2 linked regions of the Sus scrofa genome follow. The protein of the gene in region 2 binds, or shares a complex with, the protein of the main gene of each other region. Links are inferred from orthologs where the notes say so. Each region holds a gene or a part of one and is shown on either strand. Other genes may lie near its edges.

What was found.
Region 1: the proteins of MYO6 (region 2) and GIPC2 are in contact, whole or in part, in a crystal structure (PDB 5V6H), measured with the Mus musculus proteins. The link is inferred for Sus scrofa from reciprocal best matches to the Homo sapiens genes MYO6 and GIPC2. Residues at the interface, in NP_001034635.2 of Mus musculus: Ser1055, Lys1056, Trp1057, Lys1058, Tyr1059, Arg1084, Arg1085, Leu1086, Val1088, Tyr1089, Trp1092, Lys1093, Asn1096; in NP_058563.1 of Mus musculus: Glu255, Leu256, Tyr257, Met258, Gly259, Ile260, Asp262, Asp264, Leu265, Thr268, Thr289, Leu290, Asp292, Phe293, Ala294, Pro296.

The regions. Positions count from the first base shown.
Region 1 is NC_010448.4:135,172,921-135,182,124, reverse strand, and holds part of GIPC2 (PDZ domain-containing protein GIPC2), read left to right. Parts: intron 1-2,478; coding exon 2,479-2,659; intron 2,660-9,204.
Region 2 is NC_010443.5:89,990,920-90,000,123, reverse strand, and holds the end of MYO6 (unconventional myosin-VI), read left to right. Parts: intron 1-681; coding exon 682-708; intron 709-4,301; coding exon 4,302-4,520; intron 4,521-5,444; coding exon 5,445-5,644; 3' UTR 5,645-7,264; downstream 7,265-9,204. UniProt on the Homo sapiens protein: Myosins are actin-based motor molecules with ATPase activity. Unconventional myosins serve in intracellular movements. Myosin 6 is a reverse-direction motor protein that moves towards the minus-end of actin filaments.

The sequences.
Region 1 (9,204 bases), on a different chromosome or scaffold from region 2:
TCTTATACCCCCCGTGTTTGAAATCCAGTTTTGTTGTAATGGAATATGATAGAGGATAATGTGAGAAAAAGATGTATATATATTTGATATATATATTTGACTGGGTCACTTTGCTGTACAGTAGAAAATTGACAGAACGCTATAAATCAACTATAATGGAAAAAAATAAAAATCATTAAAAAAAGAAATCCAGTTATGTTGCTTTTTAGCTGTGTTATTTTGGTTAAGCCATGTCTTCACTGTGCCTTGATTTCCTCATTCACTAATGGAATAATACATATTCCTTTCCCAGGCTTGTTAGGACTAAATGAAATCACTATTTATAGTTGTTACCAGAATGTTCATTATTATGAACATGGTTTGAGGCCAGTGTTTGGAGAGTCAGCAGCACAGACTCTGAGTTGCTCTCCATGGCAGTAGGCTTGGCTCAGACAATCTTGAATTAGTGCTTAAGACTTTGAGGACAGCATTTGGAGTGGATAAGCAATGAGATTCTGCTCTATATCTAGTCACTTGTGATGGAACATGATGGAGAATAATATGAGAAAAAGAATGTATATACATATATGTGTGGCTGGGTCACTTTGCTATACAGTAGAAAACTGATAGAACACTGTAAACCAACCATAACGGAAAAAATAAAAATCATTAATCATTTAAAAAAAAAAAAAAGACTTTATGGACAGTGGGTTGGCATGCTAGAGTTCTGCTGTTCTGTGATGAGAATCTAGAATTCTTTAATTATATGGGATGAATTAATGAAAGTTAATATAATGATGGTCTGAAATATTTGGGAACCTCTAAGTTGAATAGTATTGTGAGTCCCATTGTCCAAAAAAGATTTGCTGTTGTCTTTGCCTTTCGCAGGACTGAGCTCCAAAGCGAGATGTGGGAGTGTTCTAAGTGTTACAGAGAATGTTAAGTGACTCAGTAAATGATAAATAGAGAATTAATGCCTCTTTTTCCTTGCTAGTCCTTTGTGCCCGAGTAGCAGAGTTCTAGTAATATTGTTCATCTCTATTAAGCTATGGTATGATTAGTAAAGTATATTAGATTTCAGAAACTTGTCTCAATTGCTACCTCATTCTTTATCTATTTATTTAGGAAGCTAAGGCCCAGGTAACCCACAAAATATACAATCAGTGTCTCCTACTTTGTTTCTATATCTGGTTCACTTATGGTGCCCTTTTCTAAGTTTCTTATCCTGATTTTCCTCTCTTCATCCCAGAATCTTATTTGCTGCCCCTGATCATTACATATTTCTCTTGACCACCTGGATTCTCACCTTGCTGCCTGCTGACTTCTGGTAACCGCCTTTCCTTCTTCTGTCTGAGCCCTGTTCTGGGGACTTCTGTGGCTACTCTGCTGTTTAGGTGATAAGATTCATACATGTCTTTAAAGTGTTTCATTTAGTTTCATATAACACTTATTTATTTTTTATTTTATTTTTCACCACACCCATGGCATGTGATATTTCCTGGGCTAGGGATCGAATCCATACCACAGCCATGACCTGAGCTGCTGCAGTGATGCCGGATTCTTAACCTGTTGTGCCACAAAGGAACTCCAATGTAACGCTTATTTTATTTCTTTTTGTCTTTTTAGGGCCGAACCCGCAGCATATGGAAGGTCCCAGGCTAGGGTTCAAATCGGAGCTACAACTGCTGGCCTACGCCACAGCCATAGCAACGTGGGATCTGAGCCACATCTGGAACCTACACCACAGCTCACAGATGTGCCGAATCTCCGACCCACTGAGCGAGGCCAGGGATCAAACCTCACCTATCTCTTTAAGTACCAGTTTTCTGAGCTAAGGTTGTACCAATTCTTGTCTTGCATTTGTAGCTAAGGTTGAAATAATATAGCTGGTAGAAAAAACTCAGGCTTTATTCTGATGTAATGGACCTCATGTTGAAATGATTCAGCAGTCATTTAAGGAGGGATTTTTCTGTGTGGTCATTATGCTGGGCACAGGGCGTACAATGGTGAATAAGACCATCTCTGTCCCCAAGGATATTATAATTTAACAGCAGAGACTGAGGGGGTAAATGAACAATTGCACTGTGGTATGTTGAATCTGTGAAATCACCTGATCCTCCTGATCTATGACCTGAGTCTCTCATAAAGGTTGTTAAACGAGATAGCGAATGTAAAGTGCTTAGCTCAGAGCCCAGCAGAAAATACCGCAGAAGCATGAGAGGACCCTTTACCTAGTCTTGAGGGAATAGGCTGGGAGGTGTCAGGAAAAGCTGCTTGGAGGAGGTGGGGACTGTGATGGAGCTGAATTTTGCAAAGAAACAAGAAGAATGGGTTGGGTTTAGGACGGTTGTCTGTTGTTGCTTGGTCTTCTGTCTTTAAGGGAACATTACACTGCATTATGGATATTGTCAGTACATTGAATATAATGTCTCAAGAACATGAAAAGTAATGTTACTCAGTTCTATTTTATATTAAGCATTATCCTTAATTTTCTTTCAGAGAATTAAAGATGGCAGTGTAATTGACTCTGTTAAAACGATCTGTGTGGGGGACCACATCGAATCCATCAATGGAGAAAATATCGTTGGGTGGCGTCACTTTGATGTTGCCAAGAAGTTAAAGGAATTAAAAAAAGAGGAACTCTTTACCTTGAAGTTAATAGAACCTAAAAAGGCCTTTGGTGAGTGAAATGTTCCCCTGGCTTATCTTTTAAGGGACATGAGTCCTGGAATATAGCGCCATGTGCTTATGCCTATCAGTTAAGAGCATAGGAAATGGTAGACAGCACTGCTTAGAAGGAAAACAAGCATTGAAGGAGAAAAAAAATTGCCTAGAAGGACATTTTCTTAAAAAGACATTTGGAGTTATAAAGTCTAGTGTCTAGTGGCTCTGAATTTGTTCCAGATGCCAAGAACAGCACATTGTATTGCATTCATCCTGCTGAGCAGGGAGATTTTCGATTGAGCTCTCTAAACAGTAGTAAATGTCATTCATGGACCTTAACAGCAAAAACTTTAGCTACACACAGAATTGGTGTTTAAAGGAATTAGCTAGTCTATCTGAAAGACTTCCTTCAATGCGTTTCCTCCCTTAGCCTTTTGAATTTGGCAAATGTGGACCGATATGAAATTACTTCTGCTTTGGTGTGACATCTGTACTTGTTTGGTTTTAGCCATGGCAGCTGTGTTCCAACTGTTGTTCAAACCCCCAGGGCCATCTCATCTACAGGAAAATGTGCCAGCTTCTCTCTCTCTACCCAGCACTATTTTAATAAGCCAACTGATGCTTTAGTGTTCATCAGTGTTAAAATACTTTTCGGCAGAATCATTCTGGGCCTGCCCTTACTCACCCGGCAACTCCACCCACCTAATATTCTTCCCTTTGCTCACAAAACATAAATATTCCATTTGTCTTGAATGGCTATTTTCTCAGGGCAATTCAGGATAATGATGGGAGAATGCAGTGGGTCTGGGGAAACACATTTCCCTTCCCTTAGCAAGTAAGGGTCCACTCTTAGCCATCTGAAATTGAGAAATTGTCTCTGCTTCCAAGCAATTCTCTGTCATTTACTAGAAATACAGTGTAAGTGGTATTGCTTATGGGAGACAGAATTCTGAAAAAAAAAAAAAAAATGTAAGAAAAGGACGCCTTATTGCCTAGCGCTGCTCCTGGAGGGACCGTTCCAGGAACCGCTGGTGCAGAGACTCAGATTCTGCCTGTTGTATAACAGCATCTGAGCTCTCTTCCTGCAGAGGAAGGTGGGCCAGCTCTCAGATTTCTATCCAGCAGGTCCTTTTGTAATGGCTTTGTTTGGTAACCAACTTTCAGGTTGGTTAGGCTGATGGTAAGTATTCGATTTAAGCTCTTTGTAAATCAAAGTTATTCTCTTAGTACAACTCAAGGAATGGAATTTCTTTCTACATCTATATCCTCCACATCATCTGTTTTCTAGAGTTAATCTCTTCCTATATTTCCTTGCCTGCATGTAAATCATGTGGTCCCTGGGCTTTTTGTAGCAAGTTGCTGATACACCTTAACTTGAATGTGAGGTTGGTAATAGTCTTGGTTGTTACAGAGGTCACTGTGTTTAGCTATTATCGCTCCATGATTAGATTTTTCCCCCTCAATATCTGAGACCCATGTGTAGATGGTTAATGTACTTTACTGCCTATGTGCCTCCTGAAGCTACTCTTCTTTTTTTTTTTTTTTGGCTGCACCTGTGGCATGTGGAAGTTCCTAGGCCAGGGATTGAACCTGAGCCACGGCAGTGACAATGCTGAGTCCTTAACTGCTAGGCCACCAGGGAACTCCCTGAACCTTCTCCTTTGCTTCACATGAATTCCACAAAAAAATCTGAGAATGACAAAGAGTAGTAGTTTCCTAATGAGAGTATATTGTTTTGGCATCGCATGTTCCGATGGTGTGGGGGTTAGGATACCTGGAGACTGATTTTGGAGCAGGGACAAGTTTTTATTCTCCAAGGTCCCAACAGTAGCTTATCTCAATTTAACCCCAATTAAATCTGCTGGTCTAAATGCATTTTCCACTCTGTGGATTAATCTTTGTTTTGGGGCCCTAGCCTGGGAACTTCTCTCTTAGAAGTAGGCCTCACTGCTCTGCCCATCCTTCAGCTCTTAAATTTGGTGATGTTTTTGCCTCTAGGATAAAGGTAATGCTAGTTTGTTCCTCATCCTGTGGCCTCATTCCTGTGCGTGGCCTTTTTCCAGTGAGGGAGCATATATCAGGAGGCACCTGGGGAACCATGCTTGGCTCCATTCTCTTCATCTCAGTCTAATCTTTTGCTTTGTGTCCTTCCTTCCTCTGTTTTTCTAGCGTTTTCATTGATGCGTTGCTTCAGATTTAAAGTCCTTCATGATTGTCTGACTCTGTCCTCTTGGATTCCTACCAGGAGAAAGGGCAAAGTGAAGCAAAATTCTTTTCTCTGCATTTAAATAGGCCATTTTGGCTGAAGTTAAGTCATTTCTGGGACTTTTTCAAAAGCTGTCGGAAATAGCCACACATTCCAGTATTTTGACTTTTTCCAACCAACTTCGCTCAAGATTTATTCTGGGGAGGTTTGTTAGACAGTGTCCCAAAGTACAGGATGGGGGGCTGCTTTGTGGGAGCATAACAAAGGTTATGAACACAATCTCTCAGCCATTGATAAAGGAACCCTTATTGCCCGCTCTATTTGCATCATTTAGGTCCCTACCCACATCCCTCTTGTAGCGGCCACTCTTTGTGTCAAGATTATTTGAGAGCTCTGGAATAAGCACTATCTATAATTTAAAGAAAAAGCATTTTTTTTTTTTTTTTGGAAAGACTATCAGGTAGGTCTCAGAAACAAAAAGACAATCAAGTCTTGGGAAGGTAGGAACCAAGGCTGTTTCAGGGATGTGCAAACCAGGAACCCTTCATGGTACTGGCTTAGTTGCCTCCTTCCAGTTATTCCCTAATTTTTTTTTTTTTTTTTTGTCATTCCCAGGGCATGTGGCTGTTCTGGGGCCAGGGATCAAACCTGTGCCACATCAGGGACAATGACAGATCTTTAACTTGCTGAGCCACCGGGGAACTCCTATTCCTTATTTTCATGTTACTTCACTGAGGATTCAAATTCCTGGAGTGGAAGGGGACTGATTAGGTTATGCGTCCATCCTGATAGTGGGAGGGCAGGCTACAAGACCCATCAAAATCACACAGAGCAGTGAAAGTGGGGGAGTTTCCTTTGGGTAGGAAAAAGCAGATGTTTACCATTTCTCTAAGCTGCTGTACCTTGTTCTTTAGGCAGAGAAGGGTTAGTTTTCTCTTATCTTTGAATCTGACTATAGCCATGCATGATGCTGTCAGTCTGAGTGTGTCAGAATCTAGAGAGATGAGGGTATTGGCAACTGGCTTTGGGTGTCTTGTTATAAGGATTTTATTATTCTAAGAGTTAGGTGCTGTATAAATGGTTATTTGGCAATGAGATATCTGGAGGCCATAACAGTATCAAGCTTTCTCTCAGAAAAGACTAAAGCCATCATATTTGAAGGGGCCTCACTTTGTAGATTTGGACTGTACTCTTGGAAGGTCCTTCATTTATGTATCCCAGAAATAAAATTTCAGAATTTGCTGTGTTCCAGATACTGTGCTAGCCATAGCAGATACTAAGAAAGAAGACTAAGCTATAGCTCCTGCCTTTTGAGAAGCTCACTCTGGGAGGGGACCATTATGGACCAAATTGCTTCCCCTAAAATTTGTATGTTGAAGTCAATTTTCAATACCTCAGAATGTGACTACATTTAGAGATAGGGTCTTTAAAGAAGTAATTAACCTAAAACGAGGTCATTGGTGTAGCCTGCTGGTCCAATATGACTGGTGTATTTATAAGAGGACATTTGGACATGGAGACACATAGAGGGAGAATACTATGTGAACATGAAGACAGCCATCTATAAGCCCAGGAGAGAGGCCTTAGAAGAAAGCAACCCTGGTGAAATCTTGATAATGGAATTACAGCCTACATAAGTGTAAGAAAATAGGTTTTTGTTGTTTAAGCCATGTGGTCCTTTGTTATGGCAGCCCTAGGAAACTAATATTAAGCAAAAAGAAAAGAAAAGATAGTGCAAGTTCTTTGTGGCAGTAGATCTTGGACTTCCTAACAATATAGAAGTTACAGATTAGGTATCTTAGCAGTCCTATGGCTTTGGGCAGATGGAAAATACATACTAGTATGTTTTCATTCATGGAATGTTTGAGTGATTAGCATATGCTGGTCTTAGGGTGCTTGTTGCTGGGGTGCTAGTCACTATTTATTGAGACCCTACTGGGTTCCAGCACTATACTACATGCTTGGTATATCCATAAAAAGATCTAATTCTTTCTTTTAAATAACTTGTACCTAATGGGAATAGATGGATATCAAAAAATTTCAAAAAGGGTGTTAGAATGTACTGGACATCTCAAAGTGGGATACACCAAAGCAACCAAGGCATTTAGGAAAAACTTTCCAGAGAAGGAATTTAAGCAGCATCTTAAAAGAGGCTTGCTCAGTGAACAAATCAGAGAAAGCTGTCCTAGCGAGTAGGAATAGAATAAGACAAGGTGCAGAAGCATGAGGCAGTATCATATAGCTGGGAATGTGATGTATATTGATGTAGTGGAATGGAGATTATAGATGGTGGTGTGGCAGGAAATGAAGCTCCAGAGTCAGTGGGGACCAAATTATTGAGGGCCTGATATATGAAGATAGAAAATGAGCAATGGAGAATCACTGAAGTAGTTTAGGCAGGGGAGAAACATAATGAAATTTATATTTGGAGACTGTCAGAGGGAGGAATGGATTATGACTTATTGATTTATGGATTATGACTTTATTGATTTATAAATAAATCAATATTTATTCAATAAAGACTCAATAAAGACTCTTTTGTGTTGAGGAGAATGAAGATGAGACCCTGAGTTAAGGCAGTGCCAATAGACATGGAGATAAGACGTGGTTCTGAGGAATAGACAGGGGTGTGCTGGAGCCCTATGTGCTCATCTCTTTACAATTTTATGTTCCTGGTGCAGTGGTATCAAGTTGGCTGCTTGAAATCGCCATTTACATCACAGAAATAGGCAGGTGCTGCAGGTCAAGGCTTTTTTTTTTTTTTTTTTTTAAACCTGGAAAGCTGACTGTTAGACATTTATCTGCATAAAACACTGGACACTAAGAAGGTAGAATTGGTAACCCAATGGATGTAGAGGTAAAGGAAAGGAAATTGCAAGTGATGACCTACAGATTTGTGGCTTGAGTATGGTGTCATTCTTTGAGAGGAGGAAAACTGGAAAAGAAATAGACTTGTGTGAGGCAATAGGAAGAGAAATTGTACTTACAGCACAATTTTGAGTCTTAAGAATTTGAAATATGAGGAACAGTTTGGTTGGAAATGTGTAAGACATAGATGGGTATTTAGAATTGGGTCCTAGGGGAGTTCCTGCTGTTATGCAGTGAGTTAGGAGTCCACCTGCAGTGGCCTTGTTCCCCAGTTCAATCCCTGCCCTGGCACAGTGGGCTAAGGATCCAGTGTTGCTGCAGCTGTGTTGTAGATCGCAGCTGTGGCTCAGATTTGATCCCTGGACTGGGAACTTGCATATGCTGCAGGTGCAATAAAAAAAAAAAATTGCAGGGGGTGAGTTGCCACTATGGTGCAGTGGGTTAAGAATCTGCAGGAGTTCCTATCATGGCTCAGCAGAAACGAATATGACTAGCATCCATGAGGATGCAGGTTCGATCTCTGGCCATGCTCAGTGGGTTAAGGATCCAGCATTGCTTTGAGCTGTGGTGTATATCGCAGATGTGGCTCGGATCTGGTGTTGTGGTGGCTGTGGTGCAGGCCAGTGGCTACAGCTCAATCACTGGCCTGGGAACCTTCATGTGCCATGGGTGCAACCCTAAAGAGACAAAAAAAAAAAAAAAAAAAAAAAAAAAAAAAAGAGACATAAAAAGGACCCCTGGGAATCTCCTCTGCTGTTTTAAATCACGGTTTTTCAGTCCATCGGTCTCAAACCAGTGTGTTTAGAACACAAGGTAGAGGGAGTTCCCACTGTGGCTCAATGGTAACGAACCCAACTAGTATCCATGAGGACACGGGTTCAATGCCTGCCCTCGCTCAATGGATTAAGGGAACTGGCATTTGCCGTGAGCTGTGGTGTAGGTCACAGATGTGGCTTAGATCCCGAGCTGCTGTGGCTGTGGTGCAGACCAGCAGATCTGATTCAACCCCTAGCCTGGGAACTTCCATACGCTATGGATGTGGCCCTAAAAAGACAAAGAAAAAAAAAAAAAAGAACACAAGGTAGAATGGACCTGAGACTTTCATACTGCTCCAAGCCTAGTAAGGGTAAGTATTGTTTTGGTTTCAATGTTTCCCTATGCATATGTGTGTGTTTCAGTATTTATATATTTCTCACTATATGTCATAGCAGAAGACATTTTTTTTTTGGAAAGCAACTGGTTTACATGACCCCCTTGTTGAAAACTAGTAATTTAAGGGACAATCTTTGCCATACCTAACATGGTTTCTTCTGGTCAGCTGCTTTCTGATCCACATTTTTCCTTCTTCTAGCCATGAGTTCATGGCAGCCTTCCCAGTCCTTATCGAGTATCAGATGGAATGTGTCTAGTGGTATTTTTTTAGGGCATGGCTCACTTCCTTTCCTCTTTTGCCAGGGCAAAGGAGCATGTCTGCACAATGAGCTCAA
Region 2 (9,204 bases):
GATGAATTTATAAATGCTTCTTTTTTTCTCTATAGAATTCTTATAGTGCCTTAAAGCTACTATAATGTATAGTATTAAGTTATTGTTTCAGATTTTTGTTTGGCTGTCACTGTGTTCAAAAAAATTTTGGGGAGTTCCCATCGTGTCACAGTGGTTAACGAATCCGACTAGGAACCATGAGGTTGCGGGTTCGGTCCCTGCCCTTGCTCAGTGGGTTAACAATCCTGCGTTGCCGTGAGCTGTGGTGTAGGTTGCAGACGCGGCTCGGATCCTGCGTTGCTGTGGCTCTGGCATAGGCCGGAGGCTACAGCTCCGATTCAACCCCTAGCCTGGGAACCTCCATATGCCGCGGGAGCAGCCCAAGAAATAGCAACAACAACAACAACAGCAAAAAAGACAAAAGACAAAAAAAAAAAAAAAAAAAAAAAAACAAACAAAAACTTGGGTCCTCTTTGTACATCTATTAAGCAGAATTTCCTGAAAATATATCAAAATAGCTTTTAAAAAAAATTGGAAAGGAGCATTTACTTGTAGGTAATCCTGGGATTATTTGGCTCTGGCTAGGATATTTATTTGTAGTCATCACCTCCATTGATGGGAAGGCATTATAATTTAGAAGAATGCTCAGTCAACAGTTTTGGCATTTTTATCTTTTCTTCAATATCAAATATTTGTTCACAGATTTTGCACCATTTTTGAACAATTCACGTAAGTCAATGGTAACTCATGAGCTAACTGGAAGATGGGCTAAAAATACTTTATAAAGTACTAACTTCTATTAAACATTGTTTTGCTACAATTTTAAGGGGAGTTATAGTCCATTAATGTTGGTGGATCTGTACTAAGATATTTGATTTGAGATGATGCTTTTATTTGGATCATTCCAAAATATATATGCAGAGCAAAATTTAATTTATTATTATCAAATAATTTCCTTTAAAAAAAACTAGCTTTTAAACTGAGTATATACACAATTCTTATTGTAGCAAAACTCTATCTCAATAATCAGCTGATCTTTTAGAATAAATAACTTTAGGTGGTGGTTTCATATACTCTTATAGTATAAGCATTTCTGTCCAGAGAGATTTGAGTTTTATATGATAATGTGTACAAGCTTAATAGAATACCTCTTAATAGGAAGGGGAGATTATTCTTTTCTCTCTCTTTTTTTTTTTTGTCTTTCTAGGGCCACACCCACAGCATATGGAGGTTCCTAGGCTAGGGGTCATCAGAGTTGTAGCCGCTAGGCTACACCACAGCCACAGCAGCACTGGATCCTCACCCACTGAACGGGCCAGGGATCGAACCTGTGTCCTCCTGGATGCTAGTCAGATTTGTTTCCACTGAGCCACGACAGGAACTCCTCTTTTCCTTTTATAGCTGCCCATGGTGCAGTTTTTTATTTTATTTATTTTTAATGGCCTCACCTATGGCATATGGAAGTTCCCCTTATGTCTTCTTTCACATTAGACTACAAAATCCCTCAGAAAAGGGATGGAGCCTTCCTCATCTATGTGTCCTCAGAATCTACCATTCATAGGTACATCATAGCTCCCAACACTGCTTGACATTCACTCATGGAGGAACTTAGACTGATGTGTGATGGGAAACAGAACAAGGCACCGTCAGAGTGAGCCCAGGTTTAGGAAGAGCTCCAATTAGAAGAAATAGCCTTGGCCACTGAGGCTTGGCCCATGTGTTTTACTGCCCATGTCAGTGTTCTGGAGGCTTCATTCCTGGCAAGTGATTCTGAATCCAGTTGATATCATAATTGCACAGCCCATTGCAGTTTGAACAATAATCCACAATCCTCTGACTTGTTTATTTCTTTTTAGGGCTGTACCTGCAGCAAATGGAAGTTCCTGGGCCAGGTGGGGAATCAGAGCTGCAGCTGCCAGCCTACACCATAGCCACAACAACACTGGTTCCAAGCCACATCTGTGGCCTACTCCACAGATTGCAGCAATATCGGATCCTTAATCCAATGAGGGAGGCCAGGGATCTAACCTTGCATCTGCATAGACACTGTGTTAGGTTCTTAATCCACTGAGCCACATTGGGTACTCCTATTTTTTGATAGTTTAAAAGCTTTGAGTCATCTTTGTGTACAGTAGATTTCTTATAAGTCATTTGAGCAGTAATGATTTGAATATAATGCCATATTTATCTGCCAACTCATTGAACATGCTTTTTTTTTAAGTGCTTCTAATGGAGTTCCTTTTGTTGCTCAGTGGTTAATGAACCTGACTAGGATCCATGAGGACGTGGGTTTGATCTCCGACCTCACTCAGTGGGTTAAGGATCCAGCATTGCTATAAGCTGTGGCGTAGGTTGATTCGACTCCTAGCCTGGGAACCTCCATAATGCTGTGGGTGTGCCCCCAAATAGCAAAAAACAAAGTGCTTATACTAATTTACAGGGCTACACTTGAAACTTATTCATACTTTTAAAATAACACAATTGGATTTGAAAGAAATGATTGTTTAGAAATTAGTTTCAGGAGTTCCTTTCATGGCCCAGTGGTTATAAGGATGTGTGTTTGATCCCTAGCCTTGCTCAGTGGTTTAAGGATCTGGCATTGCCGTGAGCTGTGGTGTAGGTTCTCAGGCACAGCTTGGATCCTGCATTGCTGTGGATGTGGTGTAGGCCAGAAGCTATAGCTCCGATTAGAAGCCTAGCCTGGGAACTTCCATATGCTGCACGTACGGCCCTAAAAAGCAAAAAAAAAAAAAAAAAAAAAAAAAAAAAAAATCCAATTGAATATTTTTATTTTAAAAGAATAAAAGTAGATTAGTCTTACTGGTGGCCATTAGTATTGCAGTGTTTCTGGTCAAGGAACACTGAGCTCTAATTCACTACTTAACACAGAGGGAAGGGTTTGTTTTATAAAATGTCTTAGTTTTGAGTTAGTATACTCTCTGAAGAGTAGATAGTTTTTAAAACTTGAAATCGATACACTAAACTGTAAGTTGTTTTGAGGAAACAGGAACAAGAGAATAAATAAACTCATCTCTGTTAATGTGCTAAAGGTTACGGCTTTTTAAGTCACTAACAAATCTGGGTCTTTTCCTTTCCTTCATAGGCATATACATCTTTGCTAACTGCTTTTTGCTCTCTCTTGTTTGCATGGAAATAAATTCAGCTATTGGTAAATGTAAACCTTTTACTATTGGTGTAAAAAATAAGGAGTAATTTCATCCTTTCAGTACTTGGAAAATCTTAAAAAGGCATGTGACTGTCCTTGACTTATGCATATTATATAATTTTTCATTGACATACTTAGCTTTTCAGTGAGATTCTTAATTGAGATGCAGTCAATGATTAAAGTTGTGAGCATAGAGCCCATATTAAACAGATTTACCAAAATGACACTCCTAAAAATATAGTCATTGTACCAGAGAACTGTTTATTTTCAAAAACAAACAAAAAACAACAAAAAAACAACTTCTCATTGTTTAGTAATGAAAATTGAGCAAGGGAAAAAAGATTGCTAGGAACCCAAAGTATTAGCAGAAAAGTAAGCATTTTTCTTTTCTGTTAGCAAGGAGAACCAAATATTATACACTTTCCACTTATCTTCAGTGGATTTTTTTTCCAGAAGTCTGATTTCAGAGTAAGTGAATCTCTGAGTGAAAGTTCATGCTTACTGTTAGGGTTTTGATGTCATAAAGTTATGTTAGTAAAATGTTTGTGTTATCTGGGCCATTTTAAACCCCAAAATCAGTTGGCAAAGGAGAAAACTTTTAGGTCTTTTTGAGGAAATTGTGATTCAGTTGACAAATGCCTATAATCCTGGAGAGTTGTGAAATTACTGTCTAGTTGTTCCATCATGAATCATCCTGTAAAAGTTATTCTGCAGCCTTCACTTGAACTCCTTGGAGGAAAACTATAAGTTGAGCAAACAACACTAGTTTGCTCTCCTGCCATGTAAGATCATTTTAGTATAGGTACAATCATTTGTGGGAATCTGCTGGGAGCTGGTAGTTGTTATTGCTGCTGCTGCTGCTGCTGCTGCTGCTGCTGCTGCTGGTGTGGGTGTATGTGTGTATGTGCGTGTATATGTGTGTATGTGTATGTATATATGTGTATGTTTGCAGTGCCAAGATACATCTTCAGGGAAAGAAATTTCTAAGAAATCGCACTTAGAATTATATTCATTTATAGGCAATTCATATTTACATTTTGCTTGAAATTGACTATTAGGAACCCCTCTTCTTCCTTTTTTAAAAACAAGTGGTGCACTTTAGGATTAAAGGCTGCTTTCGTTATCCTGGTGTGACTGTCCTTATTCCCTGTGACAGCTCAGCAGAACCCAGCAGTGCAGCTCCCTGCCAGGCAGCAGGAGATCGAAATGAACCGGCAGCAGCGTTTCTTCCGCATTCCGTTCATCCGCCCTGCGGACCAGTACAAAGACCCTCAGAATAAGAAGAAAGGCTGGTGGTATGCCCATTTTGATGGACCGTGGATCGCCCGGCAAATGGAACTTCATCCTGACAAACCACCCATCCTCCTTGTGGCTGGTGTGTATGATTCACATGCAATCAAAAATAATTATAAAGCATAAAAGGACTACGTGCCCTCAGAGTGAAACAGTGTAATATACCATGATGTAATCTTTCCTTAAACTTCAGGGTCAGGAGCAGGCATGGAGTTTTGCAGTTAAGTCATCTCTGTTGAAGATCACTTATTTGTGGTGTGAGGTTGCTTGGGTTAATTATGTCCTTGTAGAACACATAGAAACTTATCTGTGTCTTAAGAACCTTTTCTTGGGTGTTTAATTGTATCATTTGCTTTCTAATGGTTAAATGTAGCCTTTTTAGTAACCCTGGTAACTGGTTTGATCAACTGCACTTTTAATACATTTTGAAAGGGTACTTGCTCAAGGACAGATTTATTTCTGGCCAATTTATTAAGCAGATTTCAATCTTGAAGGAAATAAAGGTTTTTTTAAAAAATATTTTAAAGTATAGTTGATTTACAATGTGCCAGTTTTTGCTGTATAGCAGAGTGGCTCAGTTTTATATATATAGTCTTATATTCTTTTCCATCATGTTCTGTCCCAAGAGACTGGACATAGTTCCCTATGCTATATAGTAGGCCCTCATTGTTATCCATTCTAAATGTAGTAGTTTGCATCTACTAACCACAAACTCCCCGTCCATCCCACTCCCTCCTCCCTCCCCCCTGGTAACCACCAGTCTCTTCTCTGTGAGTCTGTTTCTGTTTTATGAATAGGTTCATTTGTGCCTTACTTTAGATTCCACATGTAAATGATATCATAATGGCATTTGTCTTTTTCTGACTTCACTTAGTGTAATAATCTCTGAAATAAAGTTTTAAAAGTTCTCAAATCTCTGCAAATTGATAGACATGTCAGGAGTAAAGTTTACAGTAAATGGTTCTGGAAGGAGGTGTGGTAATTCTCTGATGTCTCGTGTTTGCAGGTAAGGATGACATGGAGATGTGTGAGCTGAATCTTGAAGAGACAGGCCTGACTCGAAAGCGTGGTGCAGAGATTTTGCCAAGACAGTTCGAAGAAATTTGGGAACGCTGTGGAGGCATCCAGTATCTTCAGAATGCAATTGAGAGCAGACAGGCTAGGCCCACATATGCCACGGCCATGCTGCAGAACCTGTTAAAGTAGAAGTTGCACTAACCTTGCAGCTGGGAGCTCTTGCCATGGTACTGGGTAGGGAGTGTGCCCCAGACATTGACCCATTCCAGGATCCAGTTAGAGTTATGTAAACAAAGTGAACAGATTTTATTAATCATGGCTTTTTGTTAATTTAAGGTTAATTACAGTAGTGAATTGGGGACCTGAAAATTAGTTTCTTGTATCCAGCTATAACTGTTGAACCTCTCATGATTTTAATACTTGTTACACTTGGGCAGATTCTGAACCATTTCTCATTCTTTGCCAACAGACTACCTTAAATCTATCATCACTGTTCTTGAGGAAAAGAAGTTTTTTAAAAAAATGCAGATTTCTTGCTTTTTAAGAATGACACAGTACCATATAACTGGAATAAAGAAAACTTAGTTTCAGTTTTCCTACAAAACTAAGGCGCTTAAAATGATAAAGCACTGATGTTTTGATCTGAAAGCTGTGAATTTTATTCATTTTTTCAGAAATTAATGGCATTTCCGTCAAAGGTAGAAATTTTTATTTTCCTCACTCTTTTGCAGTGTTTTATTTGAGTAAAGCAATTTACCTGAAATTCTAGAATTCTGGAAGAACCTAAATGTATTTGATGCTATCTGTGACAAAGAAGGTACATAGTATCCTGCAGAGATGTGTTTTGGTTTTCTGTCACATTGTATTGCTATAAGAATATGTTTCATGGACAAATAAAGGAAATTCAGATCATTTAAATGCTTACAAGTTTGAGATAACTTTGGTTTCATTTAGAAAAGGAAATAAGTTTTAGGTGGCACTGTGGCTTAACTGGACTGAATTCAAATATTCTTTCAATTTCATCTCAGTTGCAATTTTGTATCAGAATCTTGTCCAAGTTGTTTCATGTGATTTGAGCTAGTTTTCTGCTTCAAAACATCTTTGGTTTTAAAAAATTCCTGTTGTCTTTTTTTTTGGCCTTTGAGATTTTGGTAATTGTAGAGCTCTTTTATAAGCTTTGTAGTTCAAATCCCTACACTTAGGAATTGCTTGTTTCATGTAACTGATAATTTAAAAAAATTGTTTTGTTGGTGTGCTGTTAGTTTTGCTCAAATGTCAGCAGTTTCAAGCCTAATATTTATGACTTTCATATTAGAAATTTGGAAACAAAAATACATCAAGGAGTTATGTTGACATAATTCTAAGGAGTCTTGTTTGTATTTTAGAATAAAATTAGAAAATAAAATTATTCTCTGTACTTCTTTCCCCCATGATTGTTAAAGACTCTAACCTTAGAAATGAATTTCCAGTGATTTTTTTTTTTTTTCCCTAGAAAGAGTACTTAGTTAGGAAAGTACTTCCCAGCTGATTGGATTAGTGCTTGTGAGTCAGACATTGTTTTCAGACCTGCTTCTCTCATGATATGTCTTAGTATAGAAATATTTATTTATTATGATACTGAGCAGATGATTGTCTTCTGTTAAAAGAATTAAATGGTCCTGTCTGTGCTATTGAGAATGTGAACATGATTATCGTTTGAAGACTGTATTACCACATGGACTTGCCTATGCTTGGTCATTTGGGCCCTATGATTTGGTGACAGAAGGTCTGGTTACTGAAAATAAATGACCCTTCTCCCTCTTCTCATCACTTGCTTTGAACTGGTTTTTATTCGGATAGGATAGTGAATGATAAGCTTTTTTTCTTGACTGGTAACAAGTAGAGTCTTTGAAAAAAAATTTAGGAACCAGATTGATGTCGAATGAGTTGTCCCTTTAGTACTGTTTTCAGAACCAGTTTTCTTTCTTCGTGTGTGTGTGTGTGTGTGTGTGTCTTTTCTAGGGCCACATCCACAGCATATGGAGGTTCCCAGGCTAGGGGTGTAATCGGAGCTGTAGCTGCCAGCCTACACCAGAGCCACAGCAACACGGGATCCAAGCCATGTCTGTAACCTACACCATAGCTCAGGGCAATGTCAGATCCTTAATCCACTGAACGAGGCCAGGGATTTAACCGGCAACCTCATGGTTCCCAGTTGTATTCGTTAGCCAGTGAGCCACCACGGGAACTCCCAGAACCAGTTTTCTGTGTCTTTGTGATATGTAGGCACTAGAAAGAAAACTAGTCAAACAGGCTAAAATTACTGTAATGAGAGAACTTAATGTTTTGAAGAATTTGTAAGAAATATATCACAGCAAAGAATTGATACAGGTCTTTAAGTTTTTTATTTTAAGAGTTAATGAAATTAGTTAGCCTTAAGCCATTTTGTTGCTAATCATGTCACACAGCTGTCCTAGAACTTTTCTATTTTAAGTAGTCTCCAGAGTTAATTTTGGCTACCAGGAGAACTGCCCTGATTCAGACAGACTTAGAGTAACCTCCATAGAATAGATCTGTGAGCGCATGTGTGCACGCACACACCCCCCAACCCCCGCGTGCATGTCTTTCCTGGAGAAACCTAGGACCTTGTCGCCCTGTTTCCCTTAGGAAACAGCAGAGACGGTGTTCTGGAAAGTGGGGATGCAGCTTCTTCGAAATGTTCATAATCAAATCGAAATGTTCATAATCAAACCCATAACCACTAGGTGAAAACTATCTGAAATGAAACAAATGTAAATATATAATTTAATCATTGGTGAAAACTGTATGAAACAAATGTAAATTTATATTTTAATCATTTGGGTGAAAACTGTATAACATATTTACAGTTTAATCATTTAAATTGAGATATAAAATTAGAAGTTTAAACCAGCACACTATATGTTAAGAACTAATTCTTCTCATGCTTGTCTCACTCAATACCAGTTCCTTCCTTAGGGTATGCATTGCAAAAGTAGATGTATGTACAGTATAAAAAAATGAGAAAATGTTTTCACATTCAATTTATTTATAATGTAACTCTTAACTAACTTCACTCACACATCTGAGCTACATATTATGAGTTATGGGTACACACCGAGAGAAAGTTTCCTTAATTATAAGGTTGAATAGATGACACCTCTCAAAGGATTTTATGCTGAAGAAATAAAGTAGTGTGTTTAGGAGCATGAGTCCCCACAAAAGACGTTCTATTGTAGCTCACATTCTGCTTCCTATAAATAACTTTTTATAGGTCATTGTTTCCGGTAACATAGTGAACCGTTTTGTTTTGCGAACAGCAAAACAAGACATTATATCAGATCATCAAGGAAAAGATCATCCTAAATGAAACATAGGTGGTATTTGTGGGAACCTAGAGACCAGAACCTCGAAGGCAAAAAGAAGAATGAATGGAGTTCCCGTCGTGGTGCCGTAGTTAACGAATCCGACTAGGAACCATGAGGTTGCGGGTTCGGTCCCTGCCCTTGCTCAGTGGGTTAAAGATCCGGCGTTGCCGTGAGCTGTGGTGTAGGTCGCAGATGTGGTTCGGATCCCCCGTTGCTCTGGCTCTGGTGTAGGCTGGCAGCTACAGCTCCAATTCAACCCCTAGCCTGGGAACCTCCATATGCCGCAGGAATGGCCTAAGAAATGGCAAAAAGACAAAAAAAAAAAAAAAAAAAAAAAAAAAAAAAGAAGAATGAAGATTTTGTAGTGTCTTAATTGGATTTTTG